Rhinolophus ferrumequinum: one gene and its partners. The protein of the gene in region 4 purifies or fractionates together with the protein of the main gene of each other region. This does not show direct contact. Links are inferred from orthologs where the notes say so. Each region holds a gene or a part of one and is shown on either strand. Other genes may lie near its edges. The genes, in order: RPL14, WWP1, RNF187 and YAP1.

The links.
Region 1: the proteins of YAP1 (region 4) and RPL14 purify together in Homo sapiens (affinity purification with mass spectrometry, with the first as the bait; 3 studies listed by BioGRID). This does not show direct contact. The link is inferred for Rhinolophus ferrumequinum from reciprocal best matches to the Homo sapiens genes YAP1 and RPL14.
Region 2: the proteins of YAP1 (region 4) and WWP1 purify together in Homo sapiens (affinity purification with mass spectrometry; 3 studies listed by BioGRID, with this or other methods). This does not show direct contact. The link is inferred for Rhinolophus ferrumequinum from reciprocal best matches to the Homo sapiens genes YAP1 and WWP1.
Region 3: the proteins of YAP1 (region 4) and RNF187 purify together in Homo sapiens (affinity purification with western blotting; 3 studies listed by BioGRID, with this or other methods). This does not show direct contact. The link is inferred for Rhinolophus ferrumequinum from reciprocal best matches to the Homo sapiens genes YAP1 and RNF187.

Annotation. Positions count from the first base shown.
Region 1 is NC_046300.1:12,791,822-12,799,103, reverse strand, and holds the start of RPL14 (60S ribosomal protein L14), read left to right. Parts: upstream 1-4,266; 5' UTR 4,267-4,336; coding exon 4,337-4,339; intron 4,340-4,806; coding exon 4,807-4,908; intron 4,909-5,537; coding exon 5,538-5,632; intron 5,633-6,711; coding exon 6,712-6,811; intron 6,812-6,900; coding exon 6,901-6,954; intron 6,955-7,117; coding exon 7,118-7,282.
Region 2 is NC_046297.1:1,989,003-1,996,867, reverse strand, and holds the start of WWP1 (NEDD4-like E3 ubiquitin-protein ligase WWP1), read left to right. Parts: upstream 1-4,847; 5' UTR 4,848-4,984; intron 4,985-5,441; exon of another isoform or gene 5,442-5,698; intron 5,699-7,865. UniProt on the Homo sapiens protein: E3 ubiquitin-protein ligase which accepts ubiquitin from an E2 ubiquitin-conjugating enzyme in the form of a thioester and then directly transfers the ubiquitin to targeted substrates.
Region 3 is NC_046307.1:1,322,613-1,330,551, reverse strand, and holds the start of RNF187 (E3 ubiquitin-protein ligase RNF187), read left to right. Parts: upstream 1-4,928; coding exon 4,929-4,973; intron 4,974-5,430; coding exon 5,431-5,614; intron 5,615-7,939.
Region 4 is NC_046294.1:71,671,007-71,678,683, forward strand, and holds the start of YAP1 (transcriptional coactivator YAP1), read left to right. Parts: upstream 1-4,660; 5' UTR 4,661-5,351; exon of another isoform or gene 5,352-5,471; 5' UTR 5,472-5,569; coding exon 5,570-5,890; intron 5,891-7,677. Other genes in the region: CFAP300 (cilia- and flagella-associated protein 300), read left to right, coding at 3,217-3,386. UniProt on the Homo sapiens protein: Transcriptional regulator with dual roles as a coactivator and corepressor. Critical downstream regulatory target in the Hippo signaling pathway, crucial for organ size control and tumor suppression by restricting proliferation and promoting apoptosis.

The DNA of each region.
Region 1 (7,282 bases), on a different chromosome or scaffold from region 4:
AACCCAAAAATATGTTCAGCAGACACATTTGTCCTGGGGCAAGTTCCGAGTACTGCTATAGAAACTGAATAACTCAGAGAGCATCCCAGCCACTCTGTCAAAACATGTAAGGCTCACAGTCCCCCAAGACCTGACACATACTTGATGTCCTGAGGAATACACGTCAGGGCCAGCCCAGGCAAGCTCTTGTTCCTTTCCAGGGTGTCTCTGTCGGATTCTGATTCTCTCCAGCCCCCAGGTGGGACATGGATAGGCACAGTGGCCAGGATGGAGAGGGGAAGGATTCATGCTGGGGAAGGAAATGAGGTTCAAGTGTTGAGGGCAGCAAAGATGTTATTTGGCTGCTGTCACCTGGGAACATCCATCCACTCAGCCAACCATCTCTGCAGCTCTGCTCTACACCTGTGCAGGTAGGCAATTTCTCCCTTGAATGCCTCATACAGTGCTATCTCAGACTTAGTCTTCAGTAAATGCAAAGTGCTTGGGACCAGGTACCGAGCTGATTAAGAAAGTCAAGTCTGCATGGCCATTCGTCAGGCAGGAAAAGCAGCAACAAATAAAGATAGCTGTCAAGTTAACAGGAAACAATATTTCTGCTAACATGCTACATCTGTTGAACGTCATAATAACCCTATCCTTTGAGGGACTACTGCTTTCTTACTCACTGAGAAACTTTGTTCTCTAAAATCAAACACTCAGAAAATTTGGCGTCTGAAATTTTATCAGCAAGAATGAAACCTCCCCCTTTTTCCTTTCCTTTGGTTAAATGGTCCATGGTGTCTCCGATATGTAGTCTCCCTTACAATGAATCAAATGCACCTGCCTTTGTTGGACTACAGGGTTATTCCTGGTGAACTCAGGTCGACTGGGCTCAGCTTCAGGGCTCCACAGATGCAAATTTTGAAAACAGACGTAACACACACTTTTTCACTCCTAAATATGCAGGCACCTGTCCACCATGTCCAGTAGGCATGCACATGACTGTCATGCCAGTTTGGTCATAACTGGGATTGGTTCACATCTCGCAAAGGTTACAGGAGCCAGAAAAGAAGTCAGGGTTCTAGGTAGCTTTGGGTTCACTTCGTGAAAAGGCTTAGACTTTGGGCCCCAGACATTTTGTCTGCTAAGCTGACACCTCCATCCCCTGTGACTGAGGAAAAGAAAGAAAAAGAGAAAAGAAAGGAACACGAGACACATCTACTCAGCTGAAGCTGACAGGAATATTGGGGTTCAGCTGGTTGCAGGTGGACAGCCCTGGCCAGTATGACACCCTCAGAAACTCTGGAAATGCTTCGGGGAAGGGGGCGTCCTTCAGTCCGGACCAGGACCAGGCTATCTCTCCGCTCAGTGCCTCATGGCAGGAACCCGAAGCCGAGTCCCCGCCCGGACCCTCACATCCACCTCTTGCCACGAGCAATCGCGGAGGGGATGGGCTTTAAGAGGACACAGCTCCCAAAACAAATCCCGCCAAGGACCTGCGGAAAACTTCCAAGCTTAATAGTGACCCCCGACGCCACGTCTGTTGCACCCTTCCTCTCGGTGATTGACTAGCGGGGTGACCTACCGCAAGGGTCTGGCTACGCAGGGAGACGCCGTACAAACGTCTGAGAGGGCCCAGGACGCCATCTTGGATCCTGGCGTCGTTCACCAGTTGCCCTTCCTCCTCGTGATTGGACGAAACGGTTGCGTGTCCCGGAAAAGGCGTGGCCGGCCAACCGAAGCTCGGCGTGTGCTCCGTCTGGTCGTGTGGTTTATGTCACTAGCTGCTAATAATGATCTTGCTTATTTCTGGATGCCCGCGAACTCGCGAGGTAGATCAGGCTGACGTAGAGTTACCTTGCCCTTATGTTGGAGCTTCGGAGAAATCTGAAAACCGCCTGGGGCCGCTTGGGAAAGGGTCCTGAGATGCTTCCTCAAAGACGCGCTTTCTCAATGGAGAGGGGAAGCAGCACTTTCTATTTCTAGGAGAGGGGAGCAGCATTTTCTAGGAGAGGGAGCCCAACTGCATGAAAAGCCGAGAGACCTGTAGTTACGGAGGCAGAAGGGTGAGATTGTGCAGGACCGTGAATGCTAGGTTGTGGAGTTTGGACTTGATTCTGTGGAACGGGATAAAGATGAACATTTGGAGGACTTAAAAAAAAATTTTTTTTAAGTTAACATATATTTGGGGAAAATAAATGCACAAATCATAAGGGTAGAGCTTTGAATTTTCACCAGCTGAACACATCACGTAACCAACCCCCAATGAAGAAACGAGAGCAGCATCTCAGAAGTCCCTTTTCAGCTCCAGCCCACTGTTGCCTGCGCCAAGGGTAAACAGGGTCATTACTTTCAACACCCACAGATGAGTTTGCCTGTTTTCAACTTGATATAAATGAAACCACACAGCACATAGTCTTTGTGTCTGACTTATTTCACTGCTGTGTATGAAATCATCCATGTTGTTCCAGGTAGTTGTTGACTCCATTGCTAGACTTCCTCAGTATACCCATTCTCTTGTTTATGCGCCTTTGGGTAGTTTCTAGTTTGGGGCTATTACTACAAAAGTACTGCTATGAACGTCATTCATGTCTTTTGCTTTGTAAATTATAAAGCAGATACCGGAGCCTAAAGACTCATTCATTCACTACGCACTTATTGAGCTCTTTATCAGGTATTGTGCTAAGAAAAGATGGCCAAGATCCTGCTCTCATGGAACTTATTCCAACTGATGCAAAACTACAACCTAAGTGGACGGAAAAATGAGTCAAACAATTGCAATTGTAATAACAGGTCTGAGGAAAACAAAAAGCTGAGCTAAAAAACAGGCAAGACGTCTTTTTTTTTAATGTGGCAGTCAGGCTTAAGTTCTGAGAAGAGCTATTTCTAGAAAACAATACAAGAGATGAATTGGCACTGCCATGCAATGAGTATAAACAGAGGGAAGAGCATTCTTGACGGCAGAAACACCAAGTGAAAGTCATAGAGCAGGAGAGAGCTTGGCCTGTTCAAAACCAGTGTGGCTGAAGCACAGTGAAGAAGGGGAACAAGGGATGTTATAAGGTGTGTTTGGATATAGGGGCACATGATGCAAGGCCTTGTATATAGATAGAGTAAGGAGTTTAGATTGTATTCTAAATACTGTAGAAAGCCACTGAAGTGTTTTATATAGGAAGATGTGATCTATTTTCTTTTTAAACGAGCCCTCGACTAATAAAAATAGATTAAATGGAGCAATGGTGGCATACAGTTTAGAGGAAAAGACTGAAATAAATTTGGGAATTGTCAGCACAATTATCACCACCTTAATAAAGTCATATTAGGACAAAGCTATCCTAAACGTGTTCCAATATGATGCATTAAGGACACAGCATTTCTACAAAAATGCATAATCTGAATGTAATCATGAGGAAAACTACTATAAATCCATATTGAGAGATGTTCTACAAAACACCTAGCCTGTATTTTACGATGTCAGTATTATGAAAGACAAGGTAAAGCTTAGGAACTGTTGCAGATTTAAACATCTGGAATAACTAAATGCAACTTGTAAATCCTCCATTAGATCATGGACAAAAATTTATTTTTTCGTTTGCTCTAAAAACTGTAAGTGGGACAATTGGTAACATTTAAATAAGACTGCAAATTAAACAATAGACCGTATTACATAGTACTAATTTCCTGATTTTGATCCCGCTGATTATGTAAAATAATGTCCTTGTTTTTACACATTTAAGTGTGTAGAGATAAAGAAACATCATGTCTGCAATTTCTTAAGTGGTTCAAGAAAAAAAAAATGATAATGCAAACATAAGACGTTAATATTTGGGGAATCTAAAGAGAAATGTTTATGGGAATCATTTGTACTAGCTTTGCAACTTTTCTGTAAGTCTTAATTACTTTGAAATGAAATGTTAACAATACTAGTGGGGTCATTTAGTGGGAGAAAAAAATCTAGTACTAAGCCGTGAGTAACATTTAGACAAAAAACGGGAGAGTACTGAGTAATTCAAAGTTGGAAGAATGTTAAAAAAGAAAGTAAAATGGAATGTGTAGAGTTATATTGGAGTCATAGCTTCTGGGCTCTTCTTCACCCTAAAATATTAAGAGAAATTCCTGCAACTCCAGTGCCAGATGACCGAAGCCAGCCACGCAGCTCGCGCTCGCAACAAAGCAGACACACTAAAGCCAGCTCCGCCACATTTTCGAGGGCGCTTGAGTGAGAGTAAGTACGCATGCCCCAATCCCAACCAATCGGTGCCCACGTCGGCGTCTCGTTTACCGTGGGGGCGGGGCGGCTTTCTACACTTGCGCACTGTCGGGCGGGCCTTCTTCCTTCTCGCCGAACGCCGCCAACATGGTGAGTATCGCTCTTACCGGCTCCGGGTCTGGCGGCCATGCAGCTCCACCACTGTCTGGGCCTGGGAGCGGAGGCGCCGAACGGCGCTCAGCGGGTCTTGGGTAGCGTGTGGTGAAGATCCCCCGATCGGGTGGAGCAATGAGTTTGGGAGCTTGCCCGACGCGCGGCCTAGGAGCGCGTGGAGCGCCCGGCGCGCCTGGGCCACGCGTGCGCGCCTCCGCCGCCAGAGCCATACTGCGGCCGCCGGGACCTTGCCGAGTTGGGGCCAGTGGGCGGGGGCGTGGAGACCTGCGGGAACCCGGCTTTGCCGCAGTCTGCGGATTTTGTCCATCCGGGTCGTCCAGGCACTTGGACGTGTTCCCCTCATCGTTCTTACCCATGTTTCCTTTAAGCGGCAAAGCCTGATAAGCTGGAGACTTTTAATTAGTTTCTCTGTTCTCCTCCTCCTTTTTCAACCCGCATTTTAGGTGTTCAGGCGCTTCGTGGAGGTTGGCCGGGTGGCCTACATCTCCTTTGGGCCTCATGCCGGGAAGCTGGTCGCGATTGTAGATGTTATTGACCAGAACAGGGTAAGTGTAAGGAAAGTCACATCACATGGCAGTGGATGGTATGCAGCAGTATAAATGGCAGTCGTCCCAGTGGGGAGTAGTCTGGATGGTGGCTTTATTTTATCCTTGCAGAAGCAGGCAGAGTAGGGGTTTCAAGTACAGACTTGAGTTGGTCAGCACTGCTGGGTTTAAGTATTACCCCTGCTGCTTAAACTAGCCAGAGCTTTTAACTAATGGGTAAATACATTGGTGAAGTGTAAATGAGTTACTATATGTAAAGCGAACTTAGAACAAAGCCAAGCACAGAGAAAGCTGTTGTTTGCTCTTGTCAATATTTGAGAACCACAAACTAAGGGATTGACCAAAGGCTGTGAATGAACATGAAGTTATTTGAAATGTTAAGAATTAAAGACTTAAAATTGTCAAGTAAATTATATTTACTTGGGTTATATGCTGTACTATTAATAGTTTAATCTTTTTTAAAAAGCATCTAAATAATGAGGATTTGGAAGGCAGCTATAATCACCACTGTACCACCAACGCAGATAGTGGGGATTTGATAATTCTGAAAGGACGACTGTTAGAGAATATCTGTCTATTTTGAATATTCAGTTCTGTACTGAGATCTTCATCTTATTTGTGTATTCTAGGCTTTGGTTGATGGACCTTGCACTCAAGTAAGGAGACAGGCAATGCCTTTCAAATGCATGCAGCTCACTGACTTCATCCTCAAGTTCCCACACAGGTAACTGTCTACCAACCATTACACCCTCCCCCAGCTTTGTTTATACTAGAAAAACGTTTAATTAAAAAAAATGTTTTTGTTATTTTGTTGTTTTTCCCTTGAGAATACAGTAAACAGTTGAAAGGTGAAAGCAATTCAGAAGAGGAATTTACAATGTAGAAATAGATGGGCGTTAGTTACTTTTTAAGTGTTCTGTGATCTGGTAGTTCTCTGGATTTGCGTTTATCCAGATTTGCCGTCATCTTTTTTACCCTCTTTCAGGATTTACAAAGACCTCCCTAAGGAATTCTGGTTTCCTGTTCACATTTTAATAAACAGCTTCAAAACAAAAATTCTAGCTTGTCTTTCCCAATACTAGCTGTCATTAGTTGAACTTTTAACATGTTAGTTACAAGTATTTAACATTCATCATCTCATATGGCAGGCAGCCACCACAGAGGTTCTATTCCCAGCTGCTTATGTGGAATTGAGGCGATCGGTAGTAATTTTTTCTTGACGTGTAGATTGTGAAAATTAAACACTGTGGTGTGTTGCTGTCATTACCAACTGCAAATGCAGTTGCAGTGGCACACATGCTGTAACTATTTATTTAAGCACACTGGGTTTTGATAAATTTCAAAATGATTATAATTGGATTTTATGATCAAATCGTTAAGCGTTTTTGTACAAAATAAAAACATTAGGTCTAAGGATTAACTTTACCTCATTCTTGATGAAAAGGAAATTGCTTTGTACATATTCACGACTCCAGGGTGATATTCTATACATGAAAGTTGATTTTAAAATCCTGAACATTGGCTGTTTTGCATTTTTTATTAAAATTGTGTTTGAGATAGTAAGATAAGCTGGTTTAGTGAATATTCAAATGAGTAAAACTGTAGTGTGCCAAGTGGTATGTGCTCTCTAGAGACAACTAGAGCTAGAAGTATAGTGAATGGGAAGGGTACTTTGGGCATCATTTTGTATATGCTTTTTAACTTGAGGGATATAAATTGTGCTTTTCAGAGGACGCAAAGCTGTCCTTGGATGTCTGTGGCTTCAAAGCTGATTCCTTAATTGATGGTCTTGGCTCTTTCTAGTGCCCGCCAGAAGTATGTCCGAAAAGCCTGGGAGAAGGCAGATATCAATACAAAATGGGCAGCCACAAGATGGGCCAAGAAGATTGAAGCCAGAGAAAAGGTAATAACTTACAGTCATTTCAATTCTGACCTTTTTTTTTTCCTGGAGGTTGGAAGGTGACATGAGAGATTTTTTTTTTTAAAAAACAGAAAGCCAAGATGACAGATTTTGATCGTTACAAAGTCATGAAGGCAAAGAAAATGGTAAGTTTTAAAATTATTACGTGATTGTTATATTTTAACCCTAAATTTGTCTGGTAATTCTGTTTACCCAAGCTTGGTATACCAAAGTTGACTTCATAGGGGTCTTGGACATACGGGTTGTCTTCTGTACACGTACTTACAAATACGTATTGAAATTTTTCAGAGGAACCGAATAATCAAGCTTGAAGTTAGGAAGCTTCAAAAGGCAGCTCTTCTGAAGGCTTCTCCCAAAAAAGCACCTGCTGCTAAAGGTACAGCTGCAGCAGCTGCAGCTGCAAAGGTTCCAGCAAAAAAGATGGCTGCTGCAGGCAAGAAGGCTCCAGCCCAG
Region 2 (7,865 bases), on a different chromosome or scaffold from region 4:
TGGCACAATATTTAGTGATATAAATTTTATGTGCTTGAGTTCTAAGTTCAATTGATTCAATACTTAATTTTAAAGGCTATCATACATGAAAAAGACACTTCAAAAATATGTCAATACAAGAGGACAAAGTATATCATTGTCTTTAGATATTAACATATAGTACTCATTTTTCATTCCCAGTTACGCCAAACTTTTTGTTGAAATTCAGATAGGAAATTCATTTCACCTCAATGTCACTTTGATGTAGGCACTGGGTTAAAAAAAAATAACAGAAGGATTCAAAACTCTTCATTTGCAAGATGTTTAGATAGGATAGAAAATTCTATTTCAAATCCTACTTCTTTACTTCTATGTGACACCATGGTAATCTTAACACCATTGTCAATCTTATTACATGTAAGTAATGAAAAAAATTAATTCATATGTTGGACCCACAAAATGGATGCTGCCCCAAAAAGATTAGATTATTTAATGGAAAAGTGAAATTATCAAACAAGTCGAAAAAAATAAGGCAGGTAAATGACATGATCTCAGGATAGGAGAGGACTTGTGAAACAAAATATAATAGAAGAAAACAAAAATGGAAAAGACCAATACTTTTATCTACATTATATATAAATTGCCTTTTTGCGAATATTCCAGTAAGAAAACGAACAACGAACCAACAAGAGGATTCCATATTTCCCATATAAAAATATACCATGATGACTTTGAGGAGTGAAGATAGGGAGTATACACAATGGAGTCACTTTAACCAAGCTGCTGAAATTATTACCATTATGAAGGCTGAGACCTGAGGAGACCATTCTTGTTCTAACTCGCCTGGAAACTTTAACTCCTTTGAGCTTTCCAGTCCTGCGTCAGTGCCTGAATAGACATGTGGATTTCCAGGCAGCCCTGTAATTACCCCCCGGGGACTCATATGTCCAGGCCACCTGATGACCCCCTAAAGGACTCATGTATTCATCCCCATGACATCTGTTATCCAAACCACTGATCTGACCATACCTAGTACCCATTCTTGGGACCACCCGGCATCCACCATCCTGCCTGTCATCTGATTGATAATTGTCCTGGACCAATCTTAGGGCTAAGGAAGCAAGACTGATAATTCTAAAAAATGTACTTTTGGCTAAAAATTTTTAACTTTTCTTTCTTCTTTGAAACACTTCTAGGTTTTCATCGAACTGTGTTTCCGGTTTGCAAACTCCAAGACCCTTGAATAAATATCATTTATTTCTAGCAAAGCCTCCAGACTCTTTTTGAGTTTGTTCAATAAATTTGGTATAGTAAAGGACAATTATACACTCTCACATAGTATTATGGGAATTTGATAACAATATCGCAATAGTAATTTATTGATTATGTGCCATGTAATGCTAGGTATTTTATTTGTAGTAACTCATTTACTTTTTACAAAAACATCATATGGTAGCCTTATACCGGTTTTCTGGTTGAGGCACAGTCAACTTAAGGAATTTGGCTGAATCTCACAGCTCATAGGTGGCTACAGGGTTGACTTATCCAATTGTCACAGCACAGTACCTCAGGCTCACCGTACTTTTGTGTGTGTTCCATGCTATTGAATTGGCTCTGACTCCTGGAGACCCTGTAAATGAGTTATGTCCACAGTGTCCTGTCCTCACAGGCCTGCTCAGCTCCTGGAGACTCAGCCTGTGACTTCCTTTACGGAGTCAGTCCATCTCCTATTTGGTCCTCTTTTTCTGCTGCCTTCTATTTAACACAGCATTATTGTCTTTTGCAAGGAACCCTGCCTTCTCATGATGGGCCCAAAGTAGGACAGCTTCAGTTTTGTCATATCTGCCTCCAGTGATGTTTCAGGCTTAGTTTTCTTTAGGACCCACTTGTTCATCTTTCTGGAGGTCCAGGGTATCCGTAAAGTTCACCTTCAACACCATATCTCAAATGAATTATTATTTGTTTCCTAACAGGCTTCTTCACTGTCCAACGTTCACATCTGTACATAATAATTGGGAAGATGAGGGTGTGGATGCTCTTAGCCTTCGTCTCTAATGATACATCTTTGCTCTTGATGATCTTTCCTAATTCTTCCATTGCTCCCTATCAAGTCTCAGCTTTCATGTAATTTTTTTGGCTGCAGGCTTCATTTGAATTGATGACTGAATCGACTGAAACAAAATCTTTAACAATTTTTATGTTGTCATTGTCTATGTTAAAGTTGTGTACTTCTTCTGTAGTCATGATTTTTGTCTTCTTGATGTTCAAATGTGGTGCTGATTTGGCACTTTCTTCTTTGACTTTCATCAGAAATTATTTCAACTCATTGTGACTATACTTTCAGGGGCCCACAAAAAATGTTTTAATTTCTTTTAAAATCAGAAGAAAAACAACTGAATGTTCAGGTTGAAGAAAACGTTTTAATGTATGCAATCAGTAAGTTCACGTTTATGTCAATGCAGTTATAATTTTTAATATTATTTTATGGAGGAAGAGACCCACAAAGATAAAAGCATGTAGGACCCATGAAAGTCTGAATGTGGACCTGTGTGGCAGAGCTGCATTTTGATCCCACGCAATAGGGACATCTAAGCCTAAGTACTTTCTGGAAGGTAACTTGCCGATGTTTCAAAAGGGCTAAAACTGTTCATTCATTTGATTACTTTTTAATGATTTAAACAGACAGTAAGTAAGGACATGGACAATGATTTATGAAAATATATTTATTTGTAATAGTGTTCATTTGAAACCAAAGAATATATAACAATAAAAGGATGTCAACTTAGGGACCTAGGTGAATACTAGGAGCTTCTGAATGGAGCTGAACTGAGGGGGAAACTGAGGACTCAAAAGTGCTGGAAGTGAGATTGACTCAAGCAGGACGCAGAAGGAGGCCTGTATGTATTCTGGACATGGACTGCAGACTTCTGCTGGGCGTGTGTATGTAATGTCTGAGAGTATACTTGTATAATAAGTGTGTTCTTGAATTTATTTTTAAGGGAACTGGACAGGTGAAGAAAAGGTTAGAATAAATAGTACTCGGTAAAGCAGAGAACAGTGAGCACAGTCAGGGAACTCTGAAGCGTTTTCATAACAGGAGAGACCAAGTATTTGAACATAGAAGACTTGAAAATGTTAATCTTTGTTTTGAAAGCCCCAAAGAGCCAATAAAAGATTTGAAGCCTTGGAGTGACATGCTCAGATGGGTAGTTTAGAATAATCATTGTATATATATTGTGCCTCGCATGTAGGTATGACATAGGAGGGTGGGAATGATGCATTGGAGTGGAAAATAATATATATTCATTCAAACAAGAGATATTTACCGACTCTTACAAATATTCACGGAGTGTCGATGCTGTTCCTAGTACATGATTCTTTTAAAAGCTTAGTTATGACAGAAGAGAGAGAACTAGAAGGAGGTTTTAAAGTCAAAGGATAATTTAAGACAGAAAAGACTTAAAACGTAATTCTGCTGAGGAATTGTTGCCAATAGCAAAGGCGGGAAACCTTGCTATGACAAGGACAGGGTCACAGGAAAGAGCAAACAGTGAAGAGGTTCACATTGGAGAGGTTTCAACTTGGGCGTAGCTATAGGTAATTTGTTGCGGCTGGGTGAGGCAGTTGGGCAAAAATTGTAGAAATCCATGCTCCGTAGCCTTTATTATGTCTCTGAAGTTACAAAGAAGCTCCTGGTACTGTATTTTGACCAAGGGGACTGAGGCCTGCCCCACCCAATTGGAGCTACACAGCTATATCCTCATTTGTATCTTTACTGACCAATCAGTGGTTACATAACAACCAATCAGATCACATCATTCTGCCCAATCAGGACAGTGCAATTTGGACCAATCAAACGGTGCAAATTGGGATTCCTCATTTGCATAGAAATAGACCAATCAGGCACCAATGGGGAACTTCCTCCATATAAGCAGGTTTCCCTTTGTCTCTGGTGTGTGATCTATGGGTTTCCTCCTGAGGCTTCCTCCCTGGTGTGCAAACTGTTTACCTGAATAAAGTTTCTCCTTTCTTGGCATCCCATATGGGGAACTCCTATTGCCATAGGCTTGGCGGCAGCGACCTTTTGTTGACAAGGTCATCTGGTGAGTAATGGGGTCACCACTGACTTCCATTTGCAGTGGGACCTTTTTCTCTAAACGCAACATGAGGAACCAACAGCATCTCTGCAAACGAGCGAGCCATTTGTATAAATGGGGATGACAGACTCTTCTTTATGGGACTGCTCTGTGGGTTAGTTACAATGACACACGTACTTGATCAGTGTTACTTTTATCATTGTACTCATGGTGGGGTAAGGGGAACAAAAGTTTGGTGACTAATAATGGCCTGGAAAGTCTTTGGCTGAATGCAATTATTTACTCTTGCAATGGTTTCCTGAAGCGCCCAGCTAGTTCAAGGACTATTTATAAACAGCCTAGCTTTGTTGTAAAGCGTTCCACACTGGAACGCTGGTGCCCCGAGGTCCTCACTTGAGGTGACGCGCCATCCCGCCCCAGCCCGAAAGTCACGTCAGCAGCATGCACCTCCAGCCTTGAGTAGCTTCCCCCCAGTCTCCGCCCCTCCGCTGCTCAGGCCCCACCCTCCGCTCCTCGGGCCCCGCCCCCCTCTCCCATTGGCTGGCGCTCCCTGTCCCCCGACCGCCCCGAAGACCCGGAGCAGCGGACTTTCCCACAGGCGTCGCCGGGCTCGCTGGCTGCGCATGCTCGGGGAAGCCCGATCCGGTCCAGAGTCGGCGGCAGGGCGGCCGCGGTGCAGCGCGGGTCGGCCGGCGGGGAGGCGCGCTCCCGAGGAGGGAGGTGTGGGTCGGCGGGGGCGGCGCGCGGCAGGGGTGGGTGGGGGGAGGGCCGGGTGTCCGCGAGCTGATCCGAGTGGCTGCGGGCGGCCTGGGCTGCGGGGCCGCGCCTGCGGCGAGATGGCGGTCCTGGGCGCCGAGGGCTGAGGCGCCGCCGCGGGGGACGCGCCGCTGCGAGGCCGCGGGGAGTCGGTGAGGACCGCGGGGCGCGGGCTGAGGGCGGGGGGCGCGGGGCCGGGCACCGATCGCCGGGCGGGACCCTCGGAGGCTGCCCGCCCGCCGGGCCGGACTTGTCTGGGGCGGGGTCGCGAGTCCGCCCGAGTCGCCCTGGCCCAGGCCCGAGCGAATGATACCCGAGCGGCGCGAAGTGTTTCCGTGACTGCAGCCGCGGCTGTCCAGCCTCCTCAGCTTGTCGTCCCCCTTTCCCTGACACCGCTCCGAAAACACCAGTGTGGACTTCCCGCCGGTGCCCCGACTCGCGCCTCAGCCCGTCCCGGGCGCAGGGCTCCCGCCTTGGGACGCCTCTTCCCGGCTGTTTGGGTCACTCCCGGGTCCTCGCGGACTGCAGCGCCCCAACGCAACCCCACCTCCACCTCGGTGACCCGGTCGGTCCCAGTGACCTTGCAGTTTTCACTGGTCCTTATCTCATCGGTGACTGGGACCTTTTCCTGGCGTCCTTTTATGCACAAACATGAATTTCGTAGTTTGCCCCTTGCGTGGAAAGGCTCGGGCTTGTGCCCTGCACGGTCCTTTCTTCACTCCATCGATTTGGAGTGCAGCCTCCTTCGCTCCCGTAATTATAGGAAACCTTCAACCAGAGCAGAGCAGTACCTATTCTTGTGACCTTTTTACTCTTCCAAGTAAAATCATTTCCAGGGGCCTGACGTGGCTTTCTTTTTCTATTTGGTAAGTCTTGTATCTTTCTGTGTAGCCTCATGTTCAAAAAGATTTGAGTGTCTGCTTTGATGTGCTGTTGGCAGGAGTGGTGGAAAAGAATAATGTCCAGAGTTATCTTTCGGGCCCTTTGGTGTTTTTACGTGAAATACCTGGTGAGCAGTTGTATGCGGGTTTCGGCAAGAGGTCACACGGCGCGTGTACATCCACTTGATCTGTCTCACTAGGTCTCTGGGTGTATTATACAAACAAAATGCACCTTTTTAGAAAAGAAAGGCATTCTTTTATTTATGTGACTTGTTTGTTAGCTATAAAGGACTAAATTAACTCTGACTGGAAATGATGACTTTTCATAAATAGTTAATATTTTTTAAATTGAAACTTAGTGGCCGAGCGTTGGGAGGTACTCAGGTTGAGAAGTGTAAAAAGTATGTGGAGGAGGTCTTTCAGATGTAGTTGACTGACATTTTCACACAGTTTTTCTTTGCAACACGTAGGCTTTGGAAAGCTGAAAGGAAGGGTTATGTTTTTTGGAGGCCATGCCCGTTAGAGAATGTCACAGATAAAGTCTCTGCTTTTAAAGAGATAGAAATCTTTGTTGTTTACCCCACCAAGTCTGAAATTTCTTTTACTCCTTTGCAGTTATTGAACACCTACTACCATACGTGCGATTGTGCGGTATTTTGGGGAATATAAAGATGAGGATGATAACAGTTTCTGCCTTCACAGACAAGTTGGGCAGATGGGACTATACACAAATGCCTCATTTGTCCTTTAACAGATAGTTAAGCTACATCCAGAATCCAAATTCAGAAGGGGTAGAGCTCACAACCCGTTTGGCAAGGTGGGGTTAGGGAGGTTAGTTGTAGAGCTTCTGGCTTCCGAAATCTTTGTTTTAAGGATGACTAAGACCCTTGCTAGGCAGGGAAAGGTGTAATCCAGGCAGAGAAGGGACAGCACAGACGTCATACATTTGGGGAGAGGCAAGTAATTATGCTGGGATGGAACATAAAGTATTTGTACCAGTAACAAGGAGGATAAAGCTAGAAGTAGAAAGTGGGCCAGTTTATTATTGCGTTTAATGCCTGGCTAATGACCTTGGATTTAGTACGTGGTGGGGGTTTTACAGATGATTTTTGAGTTAGCAATGTAACGATTACAAGCTTTGTTTTCAGAGGATCAATCTGGCAACATTGTGTTGTGTGAATTGAATAGAGAGAACCTGGGGGTAGAAAGACCTCTGGATTGCTGTGGTCATAGGTAGCGGTGTCTGCGCTGTGGCCGGTAAGAATAGGACTGGAAAGGAGGAAGGAAGTGGATTAGACAGAACTGCTGATGAAAGAGAAAATGAAGAAAGTGAAAATAACTATGATTCTGATCCAGGTTGGTTGGGAGAATATAGTGATACCATTTTGAGCAACCTCTATGGAAGCTTCGTCTTCGGCACGTGACTGTCACTTTGCAGCAGTACTTGTCAGTCATTTGGGGATTAGTAATCCTTGATGAAATTAAAGTAATCTGCTGGCCCAGAAAATTTCCATATGCACCTGTGTTTTGTGGTTGTAAATTTAGAGGTTGTCCGTGGACCACCTGAAGCTCATCCATGGAACCCTTGGTCCAGTGGGTGGGCTTGGAAGCAGCTCTCAGAATTACTGGGGGCCTTTTAAAACAATAGAAGCTTCAGATTCTTCCACTACTGATAAGAACCCCTATTGTAGAGACATACTGTAGATACACCTAGAGACAGTATCTCCTTACACTTGTATTGTGGTTTGCAGTGAATTTTGACTTATTTGCTGTTATATTACAGAGCAAACTAGCCCAAGAGGTTAAGTGTTTGCCCTGAGTATTTCAATCATGAGTGGGTAAAGTGGAATCAGGAGTTGATTGACAGTGATGGTTGCTTTCTTGTATGAAGATGTTTTATATGCAACTGATTTACCATCATTGGATATTGTTACTGCCTTTACGTGACCTCATCAGTGGGGTCTAGATGATCCTTGGGAGGTTCCTTCCAGTTCTTAACATTTTGTGATTTGGGGTCTTAGGTTTTCCTTGGACTATCTGTACCTTGTTTTCCATGTGCGGGGGAGAGCTGGTGAGGCTGAGGAATGAACTGGGCATATAGAGAGTGACATCAGACCAATCATTTACTTATTCCTTTGGATGGGCGGGGGGA
Region 3 (7,939 bases), on a different chromosome or scaffold from region 4:
ACCTGTTGTAGCTCTGTGCTCAGAGGGCTTGAACTAAGGGTGCTCCGTTGCTCCAAGTAGGCGCCCCACTTGGCAAGAGTGGTAGTCTGTGCCACCTCTGTTTTGGGTCCCTGGGTCCACATATGGACCCACCCCTGGACGGGATAGGTTGTTCGAACCAACACCCGTGCCGTTCTTGTGATGGCTTCTGTGGCCACTAGGGCTGCATACACAGCAGCCAGCTGTTTCTCTATTAGTGAGTAGTGGACCTTCGCTCTGTTACATAATTGGGACCAAAATCCCACTGGCAACCGGAAATGCTCCTGCCATTGCCAGAGGACCCATCCGTACCCCTCTTGGGTTATGTGAACATCAAGTTCAAATGGGCGGCCGGGGTCCACTACTTACAGAACCTGTGCCTGCTGCACTGCCCGTTTTGTGGCTACGAAGTCTTGCTCTATAGCCTCTGTCCAATCCCATGAGGCCCCCTTTTTTATCATGTTGTACAAGGGCCTTGCCATTTGTGCTAAATGGGGTACAAACGCCCGCAAATATCCTAGCAGACCCAAATATGTCTGCAGTTGGGAGACCTTGGTTGGCCGGAGAAAGGCTTGTATCTTGTCAATAATCACCTCAGGTATAACTTTTGTCTTCCCCTACCACACAACACCCAAAAACATGACGGATAAGCCAGGGCCTTGGACCTTTTCCTAATTCACTGCCCAGCCGCGTGACTTCAGGTGGCAGAGAAGAGAGGGAGCTGCTTGCTCTAAATCAGAAAGAGAATCTGATGTTAATAGAATATCATCGACATAATGAAACAAGGCCACAGAGGACGGGTGATCCCACTGTGCCAAATCCTGGGCCACGAGCCCGTGGCAGATAGTGGGGCTGTGCAAGTATCCTTGCGGAAGGACTTGAAAAGTCCACTGCCACCCGTCCCAAGTAAAAGCAAACTGCTCTTGACACTCAGGTGCAATGTCAATGGAGAAAACAGCATTGGCCAAGTCCACTGCATAGTGATATGTCCCCAGGCGGACAGTCAGACAATCCATTAAATCATGTATTGAAGGTACTGCCGCGTGCAAGGGTGGCATCACCTTATTTAACTCCCTATAGTCCACAGTCATTCGCCAGGTCCCATCTGGCTTCTTGACAGGCCATACTGGGGAGTTAAAGGGACTGTGCGTTGGCCTCACAATATGTGCCTTCTCCAATTCCAATATTATAGACCAATCTCCTCCTGTCCTCCTGACAGGTGGTACTGTCACACTGTAACCACGCGCCACGGCTGTGGCAACACTTGAGGAGGGTGGTGAGCATGTCCATGTGTCACGGATTTCACCACCCGGATCTGGAGACAGAACTCTCCTACCGACATCTGTAAGCTGAGGCCATGTAGCATGTCCACCCCTAGAATATACTCCGGAACGGGGGAGACATACACCTTGTAGGTACGAGGGGGAAGCCTTCCTATACCCAGTGGTAAGGAAACAGCTTTCACAGTCACAGTCTTTCCCCCGTACCCATCAATGCAGATTGCTGGTCCGGGGAAGAGTTCTGGGTTCCCATAAGCAAGACTTCAGTCTGCGCCAGTGTCAACAAGTGCCAAAACCCTCTGCACATTAGAAGGGGACCAATGTATGGACAGTTCCACGTGGGGCCTCTGGTCCCTGCTGTCCCCTCTGACCGGGTACCTTGGCCCCAGCCCTAATCAAGCTGAAAGGAGTCGGCCTCAAGTGGCCGCATGAAGTCCTGGAGGGACACGGGTCGCGCTTTCCCAGACTTCTCCTTTAGGCTTCTCTGGAATTGCTGTTCGCGATGCAACTGTTTCCAAAGTTCCAGCAGGAGTTTATTGTGTTGTCGGTCTATTTTCTCCTGATCGACCCCTGCTGCCACAAGATCATGCCACATCTGTGCGCGTGTTGCTCTCTGAGGCCCGCGACCTCACCCCTTTACTTTTGATTTGGGCTTCCAGGTCTCAACTGCGCGGACGTCCTGTCTTAACTTCCTTCGCCTCTGGCTTTCAACATACTCTAGGGTGACCATGGCAGTTGTAACTTCATGGATCCGTCACCCCACATAGAGCGTAAGAATGGCAACTAAGGATCCAAAGGCACTCGCAGGTACAGTATCCAAAACCAGATCTTTCATGCTGGCTGTAAAGAGCTCGTCATCAGGTCCCTGCATAATAGGGTTGAAAATAGCATGTCTCATACCCATTTCATGGATGATTTGCGTAAGTTCCATATATGACTGCCATTGACTCACAGTGTCTGGCAGCTCGCCAGCCTGTCCCCATACTGTGCGTACAGCAGCAATGAGTCACTCCATTAGAGTGGTTGCCCTGGTCTTGGGCCAACCTATGGCAGTTCTGTAACCTTTGTCGCAGGGACAGATGCACTGTCACAAAGGCTAGCTTTTCCATCTCTCCTGGGGAGCAGAGAATGTTGTCTGCTCCCTCATCCCATAAACGTAGTAGCGGAGACTGGCTCTCCAGGGCGCTGTCTGTACCGCCTCCCCAGCTCCTGCAACTCAGTGGGAGTGTAAGGGGTGTAGGTTGTGAACTCAGTCACAGCTGGGTTGCCGGCGGGGCCCAAAGGTTGCTCATGCTTTACCTTTTGTTTCAAGATTGGCTGGGCTTGGGGGTTAGGAGCTGTATTGTCTCCACTCGCCTCCTCCGCCTCTGCCTCACAGTCTCCACTGTGGGGCCCCTCTTCTAACAGGGGGACCCGAGCTTCCAGCGCCTCCAACTGGGAGACCTGGTCCGGCACCTGGGCTATTTCATTAGGCGCATTTTCCGTGTTGAGACTCAAGGCGGTGAGGAACATCCAGCCCACGCGGCCGGCTGTAGCCTTCTCCTCCTCCGGCAACTGCTCAGCCAGAGCCTGCAGGGCCCTCTCCACCCTGGCTGGAGAGCCATCCATGTCTTCCCACCCCTCCTTGGGGGTCCAACTCCTGAGAACAGTGGCCACTGGGCACCACACACTGTGTGGGGGCCACACGTCCTCCTGCCCAGAGTCAGACTCCATTCCTACCTGGTTGGAATCCTGCTCACCGTGCCAGAGGTCTGAGTGGGTGGTGGCCTCGGTGTATAATGTCCACAACCCTCGGAGCCTACAGCAGAAGCAGATCAACAAAAAGAGGACAACACCTTCCATGGCCAAGAGGGAAGTGCGCCATCTGGACGCTCGAGTCTCCCAGGCAGATCGCTCCCGGTGTCACTCCTCGCCGGCCTCCCGAAGCTGAACTTTTGTACGCATAAACTGCTCCACCATCCTCCGGTGAGTTTTGCCCAGCACCATACCCTGCTGTGCCATTTGTCATGCGGGGTCTCTGGTCCCGCTCCCCACATAAGAACATAGGATATGGTGAGGCCAAAAAGGAACACCCACAGAGCCATAGGTAGGGGAGTCATACCACTATATTCTCGCTGGCGGCTGGATTCACACGACCTGCGACCTGCTGTCTGCTTTTCTGCCAACCGACCGACGACTCAACTCTCCACCACAGCTGCGACACTTATATCAGTGGCCAATTGGCTAACCGGCCACAGCTGACGGCCAACTAGCCACAGCCAACTGCCATCTAGTACCCGAGCCAGCACCTTTCCACGTGAGGCTGAGAGCCTGGAAACTGCTCTCTGGGGCTCTGTTCCCACAGCAGTCTAAAAAGATGAGGTAATAGCCTCTTGTCAATCCCAGACGTCAATCAAGTGGACCTATGCCCGGAAAGGAACATCCCATTTGAGAGAAAAAGAGATCAAAACCACCAAGGTCTGGTTAGCCGGGGCCATTGAGCCATTCTCTGCTGCTCTGGTCGCTTCTATTTCTTTGGAGTGTACTGTCTTTTCTAATAAACTACTCTTTCACCACTTTATTTCCGTGTCTGGTTCAATTCTTTGCTGGAGAAGCCAAGAACCTAGACTTCGCGCCAAGAAGGGCCCACTCTCCGGTAATAGTTGCGGCTGAGAGCTCTTGGAAGGCGGGGGTGAAATCACAGGGCGTGCTGGGGAGCTCTGCAGAGGAGGAAAGCCTTACCTAATGTCAGCCGGATTTCGAAGAAGGAAAAGACTGCCAGGCAGCTTCTGTCCTCTGGACAGCTCCCAGCGATCCCGCGCACAAAAGCAGTCCTCCCGTCACGCAGGGAATGCCCGCGTGGTGGGGACTGGGGACACTTCTCTCCAAGGCCCTGCCCCCTCTCTGCACGGACACCCGGGTGCAGGACCCGAGATAAAGCAGGTGCTGGCCTGTATCAATCCCGCCCAAGGTGGCGGCATCGCTTCCTGGGGTGGTCCTTCCTAAACGCCCACGTCGGCCAAAGCCGCTCCTGTGTCCATTTCCATTTTGTTTCAGAAAATAGAAAAGACAAGGTCTGCAATCAAATCCCAGCGGCAGGTGTGAGTCAAGTACAGGCGACCACAGCAGCGGAGATGGGACAGGGCCGCGCAGCCGGCTCTGAGAGGCAGCAGCGTGCCCTGTGATGGAGGCGCAGGCTGCGGAACATGTGAATTGCGTTCCAGCCTCAGCGCCACACGGACGCGCGGCCACGCGGGAGAGCACAGCCGCTCCCGGGGCTCCAGAACTGCATGGTCCTAAGGGGCAGACTGCAGGTGCCCAGGGGTCCGGGACCCCGCCGCCGCCAGAGCGGAGCCGCTCCCGCTCTACGATCGGTGTGATCTCCCCTCCCCAAGTGTGCGCTGTATATATTTCTCTTATTTTCATTTCCTATCTAAGCCCAGAAATTAAAGTATCTTAAGGGGTGTTCAACCCAGTAGCAGTGGAGGAGATACAGAAAACACATAGATCTGAAAACACAAGACTAAGGAGATTTTATGACAAGAATTTTCTATATTCTATGTTTATATTCCTATTTATATATTTACATGAGAGGTGGTCTGGACCTGAGAAGGGAGAGCTGTGGGGCGGGGGGAGGGATGTCGGAGGGGTATGGCGGGCAGCCGGCCTGACGCCGACATACCCCAGACACCCCAGGTCCGTCCGCGGCTTTTTCTAAAATCCCCCTTGGGACTCCACAGCAGCCGCACTCCTGCATTACACGCCTATCAGGAAGTCAGGAGTACACCCAAAGATGCGTGAAAACATTATGGCACAAATGAGCATAAATCCCAACAAGTTCCAGACTCAGACACCTAACCGAGCGGCCAAGCAAAGACAGTAGAATAAAGGAAGCTTTGGAAAGCTCCGGAAGGAGCTTCAGCCAATCGATTTGTCGTGGGGGGCGGGCTGGATTGAATTTGAACCAATTCAGACGGGCCATTCAGATAAATACCAGAGGCTGCAGTTTGTGGCTGGTCTGACGCCGACGGCCTGAGACTGCGCTTGAGCGGGCCTACTGGGAAGGGGAAGCCCCTGTCCCCACCCCGAGCGTCCCTGTACCAAGGTACTCCTGCTCTCCGGTACTCCTGCGCTCCCATACTCCTTTATCCAGCACCCCTGCAATCCCGGTCCCCGCGCCCGTACAGCCGGGGACGCTTGCACTGCTGCCGCCCTGAAGTCCCACCGCCTGTGCTGTCCTCCCTACGCCTTGTGCGCCCGCCTAGCCGGACCCCAGCGCCAGACCCGCCTGGAGGACTGCGGTCACCCCCTGTATACCTTCCCCACCAGGCGATCTGGTACTACAGCACAGCATTGAAGTATACAGGTGGTACCAAAAATATGTATACACATTTTAAGAAAGGAAAAAAATTATTAAAACTGTAATACTCAATATATACTGATAACAAAAGATGAATACAAGTCACGTTTGACTTCTGCAATTACAAGAGGTGCTCAGAGTGTTTACCATCAATCAGCGTTTAGACACATCTGATTACTGCAAACTACCACTTGAGCAACTGTTGACCAAAATGTCCACTTGTATACATTTTTTGACACCCTCCTCCCCCTGTATTTATATTATGCTATTCATACAATGGTTGAATTACTACTCACTCTTAGTGGCTCAAGGCTCACTACCATCACAGGTCTGTGTGAGGCCCCTCTTGTTTACATCCATACATGTATATATGTATCTGTATCCCCAAATGTGTTTTCCTGTGATGCCCATTTTTTCTGACTCTGACCTTCCACTTGGCAACCATTCTATTTTGTTTACTACATTGTTTTGGGGTGAATTCTGACAAAATGTGTATTCTTCAGTGTTCATACTGCACACTTAATTTACATAAGTCCCATGCTAGACATGCTGCTTTCTTCATTCTGCCCAGTTCTTCAGCTCCACCCACACTTCTGTGGGTATAGAGTGCATTACTTCCTGTTCTGTAGTTCCTCAGTGGAGGCCACACATTTCCTCTCTTCACTTCTGGCTGTTGGACCCTGAGATTGCTCCCAACTTTGATCTCCTGCCGGTGCCCACATTTTGTGCTGAAAAACCTCAGACATTTGTAAGAATTAGGTTATTTATGGAACCGGCAATTAACAGTAAATACGTTTAGGTACTAGATCATAGAGTCTAGAGATATAGGGTATAGGCTTTTAACTTCAATTGCTTTGGTTGTCACATAGCTTATAGTCAAAGATTAAGAAAGTATGTTAGCCACTTATAGTCAAAGATTATAAAGTATGTTAGTCATGTCCTGAAGGCCTGCCTGTAAAGGTTCAGGAGAAGTGTGTGAAAGTACATGTTGCTTGAGACAATAGAAAGATGTAGCTAGTAAGGCACAAAATGATAGCTTAAACAATAACGATGGTCATGAGATGCTTAGTTTCTGCTTTTTGTTTTAAAGATAACCTCACTGACTGCACTGATGAGATGTTTTGCAGAACTTGGCTTCAACCCAGCCAGATAACCTGACCACAGTGAGGAAGTCACCAGAGATTGCAGGCACTAAATTAATCAGCCGGAGGAAAACCACTGAAGCTTCCATAAGAACTAACTAATTTACCCTTGACCTCTAACCCTAATTTCAGCCTTTAAAAATCCCTCAAAATACTGATCGAAAAAAAATGCATGAGAAGTAGTTTTCAGTGTAGAAAGGAAAATGGTTTGATATTGAACTGGCCAATCCAGAGCCGGGGAGTTTATGCTCTAAAGACCTGACTCCCTGATGGCGTGTAGGTTACAGATTGTGTGGTGCAAAATCACACAAGATAAAAAAATCACAATATACCATGGATTGGAGGTTGGGTTGTACTGAGAGGTAAGGGTAATGCATCATTTCTTATAAATAATCCAGGTCTTGAGGACAGTCCTGAAGTCTTTCCCGGAGTCCCTCTTTCTGGTCTCATAGGAAAGCAGCCAGGGTGTTGTTCCGCCTTAGGGCTCAGGAGCTGAAACATAACTTAGGTGAAGATGTTATCTTATCTTGCCAGAAGTCCAGACTTTGTGACCTTTGGTCAGGTCCTGGCTACTGTCTTCCGCTGCCTTGGGGTTTATGATTATCAAGGTGTTGCCATAAAAAGAAAAAATGGTTCTTGGTGTATGCCACAGGAAAGAATTCAAGAAGGCACCTAATAAGCCAAACAAGCAGCTTTATTAAAAGGATAGTACACTTTCAAGGTGAAGAGAGCAGGCAGGTCTGGAGAAGAGCAGCTGCTCCAAAGAACAATGAGACTTGGGAATTTATCTCACTAAAAATGAAGGTGCGAAATATTCCAGAGTTAGGGGTGGCCTTATAGACATTCCTAGGTGGGTCCTTGCTGACCACTCCTTCCCATGGAGGAGGAATTTTTGTCCTTATTTGGCTCGGTCGGACATGTCCTGGTGACACAGGGGGGTGGAGATTTTCACTAACCACAATGCTAATCATATTATAATCCATATAATTAGCTAAAGTTCATCTTGAGGGGCAAGATGGCCTCCTGGATCTGCTCTTGAAATCTAATCTAGTTCTGGCCAGTCTGGTAGCTGCACTTTTTCTTAGGGAGAATCTCATCTCCCTCTTTTGTCTCCCTCACCTCCTCCTTGCCTTCCTCGCCAGGTCCTATTCTTTCTGCCT
Region 4 (7,677 bases):
AACGTTTTTTGTGCCACGTGTCATGTTGAAGATACACTTATGTCAAAACAACCACCACAGAATGTTAAAACTATAAACAAATTAGAATCACTGTTTAATAAATCTTTTAAAATAGGATTAATTGTCAGCTTTCAGGTAAGATTCAAGACAGGTAAGATTTTTGAGATCCTTTACAACATAAGTGTTACCAAATAGATTTTTTTTGAATTATCAAATACATATTATATACTAGATATAGATATTTCTAGAATAAATGATGAAATTAAAGAGATACTTATCTATAAAACAGTGAAGGTATTTACCTTGATGCATAATGGTTACAAAGTAAGGTATATAATATTTATAGAATAAAAACAGAATGTGGAATATACTATAGAGTAGTCATTCTCAAACATTAGCATGCCTCAGAATCACCTACAGGGACTTGTTAGAACCCAGATTAAAAAATAATAATAATAACAAAAAAAAAAAAAAAAAGAACCCAGATTGCTGTGTCCACCTCAAGTTTCTCATTCAGTAATTCTGGGTTATGGCCTGAGAATTTACATTTTTAACAAGTTTTCACTGATGCTGATGCTGCTGGTTTGGGGACCGCACCTTGAGAACCATCCATAGGGAGTATATTTAGTATTTTTAGAAGATACCTTTTCATTTTTAGTGTCATTTAGTAAAGTATAGTAAATGATGAGATGTAGTAGTCTTTCAGGCCTCGATGTAGAAAGCACAGGCTGAATTTGACAATACATATTGCTCATAGCATTTGAGAGGCTCTTTAGGGCCTCCATTATATGCTGCACTCAGTTCTGCCCTAAGCCTAAAGGGCCTTGTACTCCAATACTTTTCACATCCCGCTGTCAGAACAAACTTTAATTTCTCCCATGTGGATAACTTCAGCTAGATTTTAGAAGAAAAAGAAATTTTATTTAAAATGATTTCTTTTACTGCAGTATCTATGACTTTGCATTTAAAAAACCAAAATTAATCTATTATGGTATAATAGGAAAAATATATATGGTATTTGAATGGAGGAGATCTTTCTGCAATGGGCCTGACAGGTCCTCCGATATACCAAAAGAATAGGATTGAGCAATTTACTCGTGCCCCCAACCCTTTCTGGAAGGTTGTCATAACCTGGTGAACTGCGTATTAGTTTAGGCAACTAGCTCACCCAGATAGGAACCTGAGTAGAATTGCTTATAAATATTTTTTCTGCTATGAGGGGAAAATGTCCACCATACAACCAGTATTAGAGCAACCAATTTAAATGAGTGAAAGGTTGGCACTCAATTTTTACAAAGAAGTATTGTCATAGAATGTGGCTTATCTAAACCCAACTGATACTGCATAACTAAACAGGTGAACATGAGTTTGGTTTTTAAAGTAATGATTTACATGTAGATGTTCATTTCTGAAGTGCTTTAAAATTGCCTATTCTCTAAAATTGGTAAACAGATGACACTTTGAACAAGGGAGTGGATTGTGATGCCATTAACTGAGATGGTGAATCAGAGGAGGATGTGGCTTGGGAGGGTGTGGCTGGAGGTGGAAGAGGGTAGAGGTAAAGAGTTCAGTTGTGGATGTGTTGACCCAGAGGGGAAATGAACAAAAGCTGAGGAAGTGAAAAACAGGCATGTGGGCTGCTCTTTCCAAAAATGTGTATGTACAGGGAAAAGCTTGTATACATTTCTGTAGGTTCAGGGGGAGATTTTTAGGGCTTTTGTGCATGGTGGTCTCCTTTCTCTGAGCAATGGGAGGTGATGTGGTTTTCTGAAGGATTGGGGGCTGGTGAATAACCATGAGAGTGGTGAAGTTTAGAATAGCCATTATCATGGATGAGTGACGGGCTGATTGCAGACGCAAGGAAACATGGTTAGAGACTATAAGTATGGAGAGATACCAGCCCACTCGCCTGAGAGACTCCCTCCAGTTGTCCCCAGAAACCTGGGTGTCAGCCAGGCTTTCCAGAGGCTGAGAGAAGCTGGATACTTCCTCTTTTCAAGCCACCAGTATACTCAAGCATACTGGAATGCCAAAACAGGATTACAAAACCAAGGTAGGTTTCAAATGTTTACCCTTAGTAAATTAATTATTTTACCACACAATGATTACAATGCAATGTTATTGTGCTATTCACTAGATACAGAATTTACATAAAATATTAATCCATATTGCATTACAGAGTGTCATTGGGTAATAGCACCAACTTTAAAGTTCTACAATGAATGCCTTCTTGTGATTATGTAGGTGTATCTCAGGGATGGGAGTATAACTCCAGTTTGACAAAATGTCAAAAGCTTTTGTTTGAAGATTTTAATGAGTGTGGGACCCAGGCCCCCATAAGCCTTAGATGTTGGAATGGAAAAGACAGGTGACTTGATTAATTCAGTTTTAAAAATTCAGTTCATTGAAATACATGGGGCAATGGAATTGAGGGCATAGATGATTAAGAGAGGTTGAAGCAATGAGTTATGATTTCTAAACTGAATTGGGAAAGAAGTGAAAACAGGAGGGAGTGATAGGTTGGTAGAAAAGAAGGAGGTTAATAATAAACGAGGTGTAAATAATGAAACCAGAGAACCAAATGGCTATTAAGAGAAGAGTATAACATACGTAGTTTGATTTCACAGCGGAAGTATTCTGGATGATGATCGGTATGGACATAGGAGCAGGTGGCCAAAGGGAAGTAGAGATGAGGGTCCTTTTTATGTGAGAGGGCAAGTCATTGTAAGACTAGCATTTTGATAGTGATCTACATGGTTATTGAAAATGATCCAAGATCATGGTGGGTCTTTGTATGAAGAAGGCGACTCCCCACTTCAAGGTGCCTTAAACTGATAATTGCTCCAAAAATGGGGCTGGAGAGGAAGAGAGGGGACAAAGGATTGAATACATGTTATCATTATCCCTTACTAACCTGTGATTGAAATTTTATAAATGAGGAATAGTAAATTACAAAATCTTGGTCAATGCTATGGAGGTGCTTACAGAACATAAAATCACTCCAAACAGTCTTTCAAATCCACTTATCAAAGTAATTTTGTTCTCAGTTTAATGGCAGGTGAAACAATACTGAACAAAGGAACCTATGCTGTACCCTAAGCCCTTTAATTATAGTGTTCATAGTATTAAATGCTCTAGTTAAGGGACAGCTTCCATTACAATCCCAAGTTTTTAATCACTTTGGTTCTTAAAAAGTCTTTTTCCTTTTTTTTTCAGTTGAAGTTTTTAATGCATGGTTTCTGCCCAAAGGCTTTGTGTGGATTGATTACTGGATAGGCGAGGAAGGGGCTGCCAGCAGCATCCTGAGTGGGGGTTGCTGCAAAGGAGAGGCTGTGTACTTACTACATGTGAAGTGGTCTGTGAACATGGACAACAATGATAGCTGACGTTTACGCAGAACTCATCGCAGGCCAAAAACCGGGCTACGTACTTACTTTATACCCATTGACTCATTTAATTCCTCAACATATGAAATAGCTGTTATTACCCCTAACCCCAATATTAAAGAAATTAAAGAACAGGAAATAAGTAACTTGTCCAATGTCTCACAGCTAGTAAATGGTGGAACTGGGACCTGAACTCGAATCTCTGTAACTTCAGAACCTACAAGTTCATGGTTAAATGCACTTAACATTTTTGGTATGGGAGTGGGGATAAATCTAAGAAGCAATCAGACATCTTTGAGGGGGATTCCTTTCTCACATGCAATTGGGGTCCAGAGCAGTTGATTAGGACCTTGCTTTAGAATCTCGAGGGCCTGAAGCCTCTTCCCCTGGCCCTGCCCTACCAAACCAAATGATACACATCCCTCCTCAAAATTCTCCTGGGCAGGTCCTGGCTGGAGGAAGATTACCTTTTTGCTCTGGGGACTTTTTCTTGCTTCAACCTATTCATACATCTGATCCACTAGCGTTATAGACAACATCACTAAAACAAGAAGTTAGATTTTCTTTTAGAATGGGCTAGTGGATTTAAAATCAGAGTGATGCTACACAACTCTGAATACACTAAAAACACTGAGTTTCTTAAATGGCTGAACTGTATAGTATGTGAATTATCTCAATAAAGCCGCTTATTAAAAAAATCGGAATGTATGAGTTAAATTTTGTTTTCATTGCTTTTAATGATTTCAAATGGACTCCTTGCACTACCACATGGAGAATCAGGTGCCTGGGTGAGCTCCTCTCCCATTCATTTTTTCCTTCAGTCGACATTCATGGAGTCCACCCTTGTGCCAGGCACAGAGATAACAAAAAGGGGTGGGCTCACACCCCCTTGAGGATGAAAGGCAGGTACAGAGAGGAATGCTTCTAGCCAAAGTTGAGCACTGATTCTTTGCGCTGAGGTTTTCATGACTATGTTGCAAGTTTCAGTGGTTAAAAAAAAGGTTTTCACTTTTAAATAAGGCAATTTTGTATTTTAGTAAATTACTAGTCACTGATTAATCTCAGAGCTTCAAATTCCAGTAATCGTTTATCCCTTTCAAGGAGTTTTTTTGCATATTACAAAGTGAAAAACATCAAGTTAATGTTTTTTAAAAAAAGGACCCTTATTAAAATAAGTGCCTGTTACGGGTATCTATATTCACTCCAACCTATCCTTGAGGCTTTAAACCCGCATTGGCACTCCGGTTGGTCCAGTCGAGCTAACGCGAGGAGGGTTTAAGTGGATTTACGCGTCCCCTCCCGACGTCTTTCAGCCTTAAGCATTTCGGGGCGAACTGAGAGCCTTTCAGCCTTTCCCGAGGACTGGCCGGGAAAGGGCCGGGCTGGGCGGGAGGACTTCCTGCGGCCAAGGGCGGCCGCGCTCGCAGAGACCAGAGCCGACCCAGACGGGACCCAACGTTGGTCGCCGGGCCGGCAGCGCTCACAGCCCGGATCGACGGGCGTGCTCCCGGCCCGACCGGGAAAAGCCCCGGCGGAGGCCTGGGCTGAGGGCGACTTGGTCACGTGCGGCCGGGAGGGGCGTCCGAGGCCGGGAGTCTGCTGGAATGTAGTAACTTGCAGGGGAAAGTTTCCCTTGGCGGCCGGTCCCGGGACCGGTGCGGGCGGGCGCGCAGAGGAAGGAAGAGCCTGGAGGAGGCGGAGCCGGAGAGCGGCTCGGGCGGGCGGTTCTCTCAACTTTAGTTTTGGCGTTTGAGGCGAGTTTCTGTCTCAGTCGGGCGCAGCCGCCGCCAGGGAAAAGAAAGGGAGGAAGGAAGGAACAAGAAAAGGAAATAAAAGAGAAAGGGGGAGGGGAAAAGCAACAAGCTGTCTGGCATCCGTCAAAGGAGTGAAGGAAAAAAGTTCTCAGGCGCCGCAGGTCCGGGTCTCTCGCAGCCCCTCCCGAGGCGCAGCCGCCAGACCAGTGGAGCCCGGGCGCAGGGCGGGGGCGGAGGCGCCGGGGCGGGGGATGCGGGGCCGCGGCGCAGCCCCCCGGCCCTGAGAGCGAGGAGAGCGCCGCTCCCGCCGCCCAGCGCAGCCCGGCCCGCCGCCCTCGCCGCTTCTCCGGTCTCGGCCCGTCGAGCCGGGGCGCCCGGGCGGAGCCCTCGCCCGCCTGGTCGGGGTGCGCGTCGGGGGAGGCAGAAACCATGGATCCCGGGCAGCAGCCGCCGCCTCAGCCGGCCCCCCAGGGCCAAGGGCAGCCGTCCGCGCAGCCCCCCCAGGGGCAGGGCCCACCGTCCGGGCCCGGGCAGCCGGCACCCCCGGGGTCCCAAGCGGCGTCTCAGGCCCCCCCCGCCGGGCACCAGATCGTGCACGTCCGAGGGGACTCGGAGACCGACCTGGAGGCGCTTTTCAACGCCGTCATGAACCCCAAGACGGCCAACGTGCCCCAGACCGTGCCCATGAGGCTCCGGAAGCTGCCTGACTCCTTCTTTAAGCCGCCGGAGCCCAAATCCCACTCCCGACAGGTAACCTCGCCGCTCCTCTGCCTACTTCCCCGTCGGGCGGGCCCCGGGCCCGGGGGCGGTCGGGAGCGGCGGTGGCCAGCCCTGGCCGGGAGGTGGGGGGTCCGGGAGCTCGAGCGGGGCTGGGCTCTCGCAGAGAAGTGGAGGAACCGGAGGCGTCTGCTGGGCCGCGGTCACCGGCTCCCCGCTCCTCCCGGAGTCTGGAGCCGAGATTTGTTTTTCCCCTCGGAGTTTCTCTCTGCGGTTGCAGCCCCGGGGGGCGTGCTTTCCCCCTACTTTCTTTCTTTCTTCCTGGGGTTCCCGGGAGGTTGGCGGGAGTGGCGGGGGAGGTGGGGAGGAAGGAAGGGGGTGGGGAGAGCCGGCCCGGGCCGCGGTGGGCTTGCACAATGCGCGCGCCTCCGCGCGCTCAGCACCTTCGCTCCCGCCGCCGCCGCCGCCGCCGTGGGGAGGGGGAGGGGGGCCTCTGGCATTTGTGTGTGGGTGAGTTGCCAGCGGCGGCCGAGTTTGTGAAGTTGAGCCCCGAGCCCCCTTTCCTTCGGGGCCTCTCGGTCCACTTCAGGCTCCTGGAGAGTCAAATAATTGTTCTCTTGTTTTCCAGTGTTGATTAGGGGTGGGGGTTGATCCAGTCCCTGTAGTTTCTTACTCTTTCTCCCCCTCCCCCTCCCGAAAGCATTTATTTTCCTCGCGGCCCCGGCGCTTTATGAATACAGGATCCAGACTTTCCTGGAAGTTGTTTATGGAGTTAGTGCTTTCACCCCTGTGTTTCCCTTGTGCCTTGGAACTCGGGCAAGCTCACTCTTATCAAACTTAGTAGGTTCACGTGTTGATTTCCCAATTGTAGGCTATTATTTACAGTCTGCTGAAATGCTTTTAAATTAGCCACATCTGCACGTTGCGCAGGACCTGAGCTGCGCTTTACCGTGCCTTGGTTTTAACACAAGCCTTTGAAAATACACTGCAGGTTGACTCATCGCCGAGTCCTGCCTCGTTCAACTGTGATTACAAGTTAATGTTTGGGAAGCGATGACTAATTCGAGACTCGCCATTGCTTTTTAATTCTTATTGAGGATATGAACATGGCTGGTCGCCTACACAACGTTCGATTATTTTGTCAACTTGATGCAACATTGAAGTGAAACTATTATGAACTTGTTAACATTCCAACAGGTCCCAGTAGATTTGTTTAGTGTAGGTTTTTCTTTCTTTCCTTTTTAAAAAAGAACTTGCTTCAGGCTAAACTTCAGCATAGGAACTTTGCCCAAAAGTTAATTGGTTTTCCAAATACTGCGATGTAGTTAGTCCACTCGGGCTGTAACTGGAGTGGAAAAAAGACTTATCGCCCCCACTGCCATTCCCCTGTCTATTTGCAGACCTGTTGTATGTTCTCCTGCCTCAGGCCAAAGGGTTTTAGAATTCAGAAGAACTTAACCTGCAGACTAAAACCTGGGTTATAAGGAGGAAGGGAAAACGAGATAGCTGCTTGCCTAAACCCTTAAATTTGTAAGAAGTAGACTTAGGTATGCTTTTCTCTTCATGGAAGTGGGTTTCTGGACTCATGTGTTGGCATTGCACCCTACAGACTACACAGCTATGCTGCTAGTTACTTAATATGTTTTGAAAGTATAATACACATAGGAGATTGAATTCCCCATTTTGTGGCATCAATAAGCCAAAATGAATTGCAACTGAAAAGTGTACTTATTCTTCTAATAAATAATCACACAAGAATTTATATCCAGCAGTTTATGAATTCATACTATTCATTGTCTACTGAAGTTTTGTTTGTTTTT